Linked DNA regions of Macaca mulatta. The protein of the gene in region 1 interacts with the protein of each later gene in a biochemical or structural test. Links are inferred from orthologs where the notes say so. Each region holds a gene or a part of one and is shown on either strand. Other genes may lie near its edges.

Region 1 (4,575 bases):
ACAAATATCAATGTCCATAAACATGAATCCCAGTCTCAACTCACACTGGCAGCCAATCTGATGAGTGGCGTTGAGCAGGCGAACACAGGGAGCTGTTTTATTTAAGGGGATATATATCTTCCTCTCCACTGAGTTTCCCCTGCACAAACCTGATTGGAAGATAAAAAGTGTTAGAAAAAATTGAGAGACACAGGTATTAGCTTCTATCATGTAATTAACCTGATGTATGGCTTGGGTAAATCATTCAATATCACACTTTCTAAAATGAGGTTAAAGTCCATTATTCTTACTTCTTGCGCACATTATTGTAACAGATACATGCTCTACATGGCACTCAGCTATGTGCCTCAAAGGGTTATTAAAAAGTCCATGTAGCGCCATTGACAGTGACACTAAAAGAGAGAAAACTTGGTCAAAGGAAAGGTGTTTGACCTTAGATTTGCCAAATTCTGGTTGCACAGGTGATCACACTTCTGCTTGTATATCCTGTATGTATATTACTAACCGGTTAATACAAAGGTGCTGGGCTAAGAAAACTTTCTGAGACACTTTTCCAAGAGTGTGAATAGAATTGAGAGAAACCTTATGACATACACTGGTCAGTTAATTTAACATCAGTAGGTCATTTGTGTGCCCACAGTGTGGGGCAGCTGTAGTTTCTCCTTTGAGGATCTTTAAAAACAATGTGAACTAGGGGAAGGCACAGTCATAGTTATATACAGACATTTGCATTTTAGGGCGTGACCAACTAAAAAGCCATGTATCAGTAAATAAACGCGTATAAGCAAACAGTCAAGTATATTATAAATGCCAAAAGTTCCTTGAATCGTTACTTCACGGTTTGGACAGTTAAGAGTACCCATATCCTACCTTATTCTTGCTTTACTGATTAAAAAAACAAAAACAAAAACAAAACCTGAGGCAAGGCAGAGGGACACAGACTTTGGGTGTAACCAATAGAGGAAGAAATAAGAAATCTACCTTTTAAGCGCCGCACAGCACCCACAGAACAAGATTGCTTTCGTCTCAAAAAGTCTAAACGCGGGGAAGAAAGCTAACTTTCACACCTGTTTCTTTCGACTGTGGGGTGGGTGGCTGGGGTTGTGGGAAAAACGAGGCATCTGGACAAAGTGGGAGAGGGTCGAGTTCGAAGTCCAGGAAGAGGCCTAGAGAAGGGAGTGAAGCGACACGACATGCTGCGGGGGAGAAGGGACCTTTAGGTCCAGGCAAAGGGGGAACTTCTGTCGTGGGAACGAAAGAGAAAGAGGATTTACAGGGTGGGGGGACAGAGGGGCAGCAGGAACCAGAAGGGAGACAGTGGCGCTCGCGGCTGGGCCGATCCGGAGAGTTCCCTTTAGAGAACGGAGCTCACGGGTGGGGAGGCCTCACCTGCTAGTAGGACGCAGAAAGACAGAAGACGAAGGAGACCCCGACTTCCCGGGTCAGCCCCAGAGCCACCCCCTGCCGTGGCCATCTTGCCTCTCTGCTGAGCGGAAGCCCCCGTTCGGCTCCTGCCGGGTAGCGGCCTCTCTAGGCTACCACTGACACCATCTCTGTGGCCCGGAGCCCAACAGACCGGAAGTTCGTGTTTCCAGGAGCTTCCGGAAACCGCGGCAGAGGGTAGCTGACGTGGAGGCGTCCGAAGGGCAGCAGGGTGTGTCGGGGCTCGGATTAAAACATCGGAGTCGGAGACCTGAGAGATGCTAACCAAATTCGAGACCAAGAGCGCGCGGGTCAAAGGTAGTGGAGAAAAAAAAGGGGAACATGGAGGTTGGATGTCAAGAGCGGCGCAGACACCGGGGAAGAGAAAATGGGTAGACGTGCTGGCCGAAGTGGGCCCACTAGACGGACCCAGAGGAAGACGGAGGGTGGGAGAGAGGTTAGGCCTGGCTAGCGGTTCTCCAGTCCCCTCTTCTTTGGTGTGTCCTTGGGCTTCGATTTACCTATAAAGTGGCTCCCACACTGTAGGTGATTCCTTAGACCACCTCCCTATTCTTTCTTCTCCCTTTCTCTCTTTGCTGTGCTCCCAACTTGTATTGTTCTGCTCCAAAGGCCCTGTGACCTGTTGACTTTTTGATTGTGTTATATGGAGTGGCCCTGGGGCTTGAGTCTCGATCTCTGTTACTTGCACCCGAGTCAGTAGCTTTTTTGGAGACGTGTAGTGGCTACCTCACTTAAGGAGGCCTTGGCTGCAGCATCTCAACATCAGTACCTTCATTCGGCTTTATTCACTACCCGGAAGTAGTACTTTGAGGCTTATAACCCCAATAAAGTCTCAGCTTGATAGGGTTGCCAGATAAAATGCAGGACACCCAGTTAAATTTGAATTTCAGGTAAACAATGAATAGTTTTTTTAGTCTGTCCTTGCTTACCAGAAGTTCAAATATATCTGGGCATCTCGTATTTTTATTTGCTAAGTATGGCGACTCTAGAGCTCGAGTGTGGGTCGTTGGGGGTGGAGGGCAAATACTGAGATCTCAGTATTAACCTCAGAATGTTAAAATGTGAAAGGCAGAGAGAAGTAAGGTCTCCAGAGACCTGGAAAAAATAGTATCTAGAGTATGTAGTAAGATGCAGCGTAACAAAATGGTTAGTCTTTGAAGTGGTTGGTCTTTGAAGTCAGATGGGCTTGCTTTGGAATCCTGAGACATCCACTAACAAGCTGTATGACTTGGGTGACTTAAGGTCTCTAAGTCTCTATTTCCTCATCTGTAAAATAGTCTTTTATAGAAAGAATTAAAATGAGAAAGTATGGAATGTATTTATTACAGCACCTGGTGTAGACTCAGTAGTGCAAAAAGTGGAGGCTGCTCTCAATGTGTGAATATATTCTGAGCAGTTTCTAAGTCTCTTGGGAAACTTGACCTTGAAAGGTGGGTACCATTAAGAATTTCTGAGACCTGTGTAGGTGAAATGGGTCTTCATAATCTTTCAGTTTTCTTTTCTGCTCCTAATTTCTTGCTGGGCAGTAGAGAAGGAAAAACAAAGATGTTGTAATAATTGAGGGCAAACATCCATTGTTGAGTGTACTTATATATCATAATGGAAAAAAAAAAGAGAACCTAATGGAAAAATAGACAATTTAGAAGAAAAATTGTAAATGTTCAATAAATAATTAAAATAGTTCCACCTCACTAGTAATGAAAGAAATGCAAAAAAAAAAAAAGTGAAGTTACTTTCTTGGGGGGAGGGTCTTAGATTTATAAAACAAAACAACAAATAGCTGATAACATCCTGTGTGCAAAATGGGCACCTCCATAAACTTCATGAGACTGTATATTGATACAGTGTTTTTACATTTAAATATATGTACTAAAATGTTAAGTGCACATATTCTATTCCTGAGCAATCTCACTTACAGTTCTTTAGCCTAGAGCAGTAATAATGCAAATAGGCTAGATTATGTGTAGAAGTATCTTCAGTAGGCTCTTCTGATAGCCAAAAATTGGGGGACAAAGGTAAATGCCTGTTAGAATAATGTAAAAGTTTGCAGAACAACATCATAATGTGATCCCCACTTTCATAAAATAGTAAGGCCTGTGTCTATGTGTAACTGCATTAAAAATCTGAAAGGGTACACTCCAAACTGTTAGTAGTTGTTACCTCTGGGGACTTCCATTTCCAGTCTTGATAGAATAACAAACAAAATGTATGAAACAAAGGTTCATACATTGCTCACAGACGTTGGGTGACACGCAGTGCAGGGAAATGATTCTTGAGAGAAGGGAAATAAACAAGGTGAGTCCTATGATTGTCATAGATTACTGCCTAGAGAGTTTTCAGGCTTCAGTGAAAAGGGGAATCCCTTGTTCTTTCTGAGGAGACAAAAGTTTAGAGTGTGGGGAAGCAAAGATGCTAGATTTTGCAGGGCAAAATACTGGAGAAGAGGGGGCTGCAGAGAGAGAGCACTAGAGGTCTGCAGGATGTCCTCTCGGGTCTTTGAGTACTGATCTGCATGTGAGAAAACTATTCAAAACCTGACAAAAAACCACTGGAAAGGAGAAGGCAGAGCAATCCCCAGAGCTCACACAGGGCTGGGACTAGTTTGTGTTCCTACTGGCCAGAATGGAAAGACTTCCTGATATTATAGAGCTTCAAATAGAGACCTCAGATGGGCTATTGCTTTAATAATGGTTCCAGATTAAGCCTAGAATGAAGGCTGCTGTAGCCCCCCTGTAATAGAACCTAAAAGCAAGCCTTGAAAGGATCAACTGATTCCAAGTAACTTAATTGCATCCTAGAGCAAAGCCCAACAATATTTAAAGGAATATAACAAACATCTAGTACCAAACATAAAATTCATGATGTCTGGCATCCAGTAAAAAATCATCAAGTGCATCGAATGAATAAATGAGCCTAGGATTAACCTTGCTGTTTCTTTTTCTTATCAGAATTGACAGAAGGTGACATCATGGGGCTTAGTTAGCTCATTGTATCATTTTCTATTTTTTTCAGGGCTCAGCTTTCACCCCAAAAGACCTTGGATCCTGACGAGTTTACATAATGGGGTCATCCAGTTGTGGGACTATCGGATGTGCACTCTCATTGACAAGTTTGATGAACACGATGGTGAGC
Region 2 (4,468 bases), on another chromosome or scaffold:
CTCCTGACCTCGTGATCTGCCCGCCTCGGCCTCCCAAAGTGCTGGGATTACAGGCGTGAGCCACCACGCTCGGCCAGCTGTTGGGCTTTCAAAGTGAGGACACAGTGGGGCACCATGGGGGGCACCAGGGTGGCCTCAGCCGCCCCTGTGTGAAATGCAATTGCCCAGGAGGCTGTGCGTGCAGAAGTGCTCAGAGGCTGCAGAGTGCACGGGAGAGAGAAGAGTGCCAGGAAGCATAACAACAACAAACGTGCAGACCGTGACCCTCATGTGAGGCTCTGGAACCGTTGTGGTTTTCCTTGACTCCCAGGGATGATGCTACCATCAGGTAGCATCGTGTGTCCGCGGGGTGGGAGAGCACTGCTCTTCAACCCCAAGGGCTCACTAGGATCACCTGGGAGCCCAGAAATCAGCAAAGCCAGTAGGCCACCTCCACCAAGGTCACCTGGCTCTAGGATGGTCCCAGCACTGGCCCCAGGTGGCTTAAGATGTGGCCATCGTTGAGGAATCAGAGTACTGTTTGGGAAGGCGGGTGATAGGATGGGGGCCCTGTAGCCAGAAACCCTGGGGGTAGTAACTCCTCCCTTCTGTCCCTGTAGCCAGCGACCTAACCGCACTGGGCCGCCAGCAACTCAAGGCCTATGAGCTGCTTCAATCCCAGCAGCTGGGCAGTGCCTGCCATCTTGTGGGCAACTGGCAAATGTCTGAGAAAGCCAGAAATGTCATGATGGTAGCCTTGTGCTGGGGTCAGTAAAGGGCAAAGACATGCCAGGTGCTCTCCCTGGGGCCACCTCAGGTGGGGCTGAGGTTGCTCGGGCCACTGTCATGAACTACCACAGACCAGATGGCTTAAAAAATGTATTCCTCAAAAATTAGCCAGGTGTAGTGGTGCAAGCCTGTAATCCCACCTACTCGGGAGGCTGAGGCAGGAGAATTGCTTGAACCTGGGAGGCGGAGGTTGTGGTGAGCTGAGATCATGCCACTACACTCCAGCCTGGGCAACAGAGCAAGACTCCATCTCAAAAACAAAAACCAAAAAAGCAAAAAATGAAAATTAGCTGGGCGTGGTAGCGGGCACCTGTAATTCCAGCTACTCAGGAGGCTGAGGCAGGAGAATCGCTTGAACCCGGGAGGCAGAGGATGCAGTGCGCTGAGATTGTGCCACTGCACTCCAGCCTAGGTGACAGAGGGAGTCTCTGTCTCCAAAAAAAAAAAAAAAAAAAAAAAAAGTATTCCTGGCCAGGCACGGTGGCTCACGCCTGTAATCACAGCACTTTGGGAGGCTGAGGCAGGCGGATCTCAAGGTCAGGAGTTAGAGACCAGCCTGGCCAACACAGTGAAACCCCATCACTAGTAAAAATACAAAAATTAGCCGGGCGTGGTGGCGGGCGCCTGTAGTCCCAGCTACTCTGGAGGCTGAGGCAGGAGAACCGCTTGAACCTGGGAGGCAGAGGTTGTGGTGAGCCAGGATCGTGCCACTGCACTTCAGCCTGGGCAACAGAGCAAGACTCCACGTCAAAAACAAAAAACAAAAATTAAACGGGTGTGGTGGTGGGCACCTGTAATCCCAGCTACTTGGGAGAAGAATTGCTTGAACCCAGGAGGAGGAGGATGCAGTGAGCTGTGATTGTGCCACTGCACTCCAGCCTGGGTGACACACAGTGAGATTATGTCGCTTGACCCTGGGAGGCGGAGGTTGCAGTGAGCCGAGATCACGCCACTGCACTCCAGCCTGGCGACACGGCTAGACTCCATCTCAAAAAAAATAAAAAAAGAAAGAAGGAAAAAGAACCAAGAAAGACGTATGGGAACAGACACATAACTCTCCCTCCCAGATAAGCACAACAAAGAGACACAGAAGCAATTCAAGCCTCTGATAAACTCTCTCACCCTGAATCCTTAAAAACTCAGTCTGTAAAAGAGTGTGCCTCTGACCCAACTCGGCCAGAAGGCGCCTCTCAGGTTTGTTTTCTCTAAAATAAACCTGTCTTGACTGGCAAGTCACCTTTCGTGTTTCTTTCCTCTTTCTTTAATTCTTACAACTTTGTCACCCAGGCTGGGGTGCCAGTGGCGCGATCTCGGTTCACTGCAACCTCCGCCTCCGGGTTCAAGCAATTCTCCTGTCTCAGCCTCCCGGTAGCTGGGATTACAGGTGCCCGCCACCACGCCCGGCTAATTTTTGTATTTTTGGTACACCCAGGGTTTCTCCATGTTGCCCAAGCTGGTCTCAAACTCCTGGGCGCATGCGATACGGCCGCCTCGGCCTCGCAAAGCGCTGGAATTAAAGGTGTTTGAGCCACTAAGCTGGGAAACTGTGTTATCATTCTGAGTCCAGCGGAATACAGTGCCCGTCCATAAAAGTGCTCAATGAAGGATGAATGAATGAATGGTTAAGCTCTGAGAGAAATAACCAGGATCGGTGGGCAGGGAAACGTCCCTCTCTGAACTCTAGGGTTCTCATCCGTAAAATGAGGATAAACAACAGTCTCCACCTCACGGGAACTGAACGTATGGCTGGACAAAAAACACTTACTGTAACTACAGTGGCATAAACACCTCCCTTACTCAAAACGCCTTCAACGGCGCAGAGCGAGCGCTGTACGAGTGAGCAGTACCGTAAACTGTTACTGCTCTGGGTTCTGTCATGGGACAGTGATTACTCCTCACTGAACTGTGAAGAAGTGCCCAAAAAACGCGAGAAGAAAAGGGAAAGTTTTTAGATGCAGAACACTGCTCGCAGCCACCAGGAAGCGTCCTCCGCCTCCGCCCCCAGCGTCCCCGCGCCCCTGCGCTGCCGCACCTTCACCCGCTGCGCCTCGTTTATGCACTGCTGGTAGCTGCCGATGTAGAAGGCGTTCTTTACGTCGAACAGCTCATCCACCTCCCCGGAGCCGCCGGACGCCGGGCCGGGGGCCGGAGGCGCCATGTCGCTGTCTTCTCACCGGCTCCTCTTCCTGAAAGACACGTCGGCCGGAAGCAAGACACCTTCACGGGCACGCTGGGAAATGTAGTTTACTTTTTCCGAGTGGCGGCGAAGTAAGCCAATGGGAAGCTCCACAATGATAAGCAAGGGGGCGGGAGACGTAAGTGCGTCACGCAGGGCATCTCGGGAATTGTAGTGTGTTTCTGCAAGCCAATGGGATCCGGGGAAACATGATAAAGATGCGGTCGAGGCTGGGAATGGGCTGAGGGAGCTGGAGAAGGTGGGACCACGCAGGAGGCAGATCCAATAAACAGGAAGAGTTTTTCTCGTGACGTCGTCGGCGCGCGCCGGAAGCGCAGATCACACGGGCCCCCACACGGCTGGTCACAGGGATGTCAGGCTTCGCGGAGCTCGGGCTGTCGTCGTGGCTAGTGGCACAATGTCGGCAGCTGGGTTTGAAGCAGCCCACGCCCGTGCAGCTCGGCTGCATTCCCGCCATCCTGGAGGGTAAGTATGGCTCGGTGCCTTCCCCAAGAGGCGTCTCCGCTCCTCTCGACCCCTTTCCCTTCTCGCAGCCTTTGCTCATTCCGGTTCCACGAGGCGAGGGGTAACCTCCGGCGTTACAGGAGATCCGGGGTTCCGGAGGCCGACTGGACAGTGTTGGCATTTAGCTTGCATGACCGACTCGCTTTATGTCCGTACACAACTGATGTAATCTCTGAAATTTTCATAGTCTCAGCACAGGGAGGGTTTGATGAATGACTAATCGATAGTATCGCAAAATCCTGCAGACCTGGTACTGCTATTTTTATTTTACAAATAGAAGTTGAGGCTGTCAAAATTGCTGGTAGATCCAGGACTCCTTGGTCCTGTGATTGCTCCTCTAGGAGCAGGTCTTCTCTCTGCTTCTCTAGCCCAACCCAGTTTGGCCATTAAAGAGAGGCCCACAGGAAGCCTAAGATGTGACAAGTCAGGGATTAAATAAACAAATGAAGGGGTCAACAGGGAGCACAAGATGCCTATGAGGGAAGGGAATTCTGGGTTCCCCAAGTTCATGTGCTCCTGGAGGGAGTTAGAATGAGGTGGTGGGAAGCTGTGGGCATCTCAGGTCAAATACATATGGGTTCCAGTCCAGCCTGCTCCTCACTGGCTGTGTGTCCTGGGCAGGTCTCTGAAACCCAGTTTTCCTTTCTGTTAAATGGAGATGATAATCCCTTCCTAGGATTTGTCCGTTGCCAGTGGAAAGTGGTCAGTATGCCCAGAATGGAAAAGGCTTACTGGCACACAGGACTTGACGCACAGTGATTGCTCACTAAACGCTTTGTAAGCTGTTGTACACTGTGCCCAGTGGAATGGCTGTCCACACATGGAGGGTATTGATGCTGCTTTGTCCTCAACCCAGGTCGAGACTGCTTGGGCTGTGCCAAGACAGGCAGTGGGAAGACAGCAGCGTTTGTCCTTCCCATCTTGCAGAAGCTTTCTGAGGATCCCTATGGCATCTTCTGCCTCGTCCTGACACCCACCAGGTGAGCCCCCAGCAGGCCT

What was found. The genes of interacting proteins can lie anywhere in the genome.
Region 2: the proteins of COPA (region 1) and COPE form a complex in vitro, tested with the Homo sapiens proteins (3 studies listed by BioGRID, with this or other methods). The link is inferred for Macaca mulatta from reciprocal best matches to the Homo sapiens genes COPA and COPE.

The regions. Positions count from the first base shown.
Region 1 is NC_133406.1:106,543,780-106,548,354, forward strand, and holds the start of COPA (coatomer subunit alpha), read left to right. Parts: upstream 1-1,622; 5' UTR 1,623-1,700; coding exon 1,701-1,740; intron 1,741-4,455; coding exon 4,456-4,569; intron 4,570-4,575. Other genes in the region: NCSTN (nicastrin), read right to left, coding at 45-149, 1,390-1,474. UniProt on the Homo sapiens protein: The coatomer is a cytosolic protein complex that binds to dilysine motifs and reversibly associates with Golgi non-clathrin-coated vesicles, which further mediate biosynthetic protein transport from the ER, via the Golgi up to the trans Golgi network.
Region 2 is NC_133424.1:19,475,087-19,479,554, forward strand, and holds the start of COPE (coatomer subunit epsilon), read right to left. Parts: upstream 2,966-4,468; 5' UTR 2,927-2,965; coding exon 2,801-2,926; intron 1-2,800. Other genes in the region: putative ATP-dependent RNA helicase DDX49, read left to right, coding at 3,316-3,430, 4,326-4,449. UniProt on the Homo sapiens protein: The coatomer is a cytosolic protein complex that binds to dilysine motifs and reversibly associates with Golgi non-clathrin-coated vesicles, which further mediate biosynthetic protein transport from the ER, via the Golgi up to the trans Golgi network.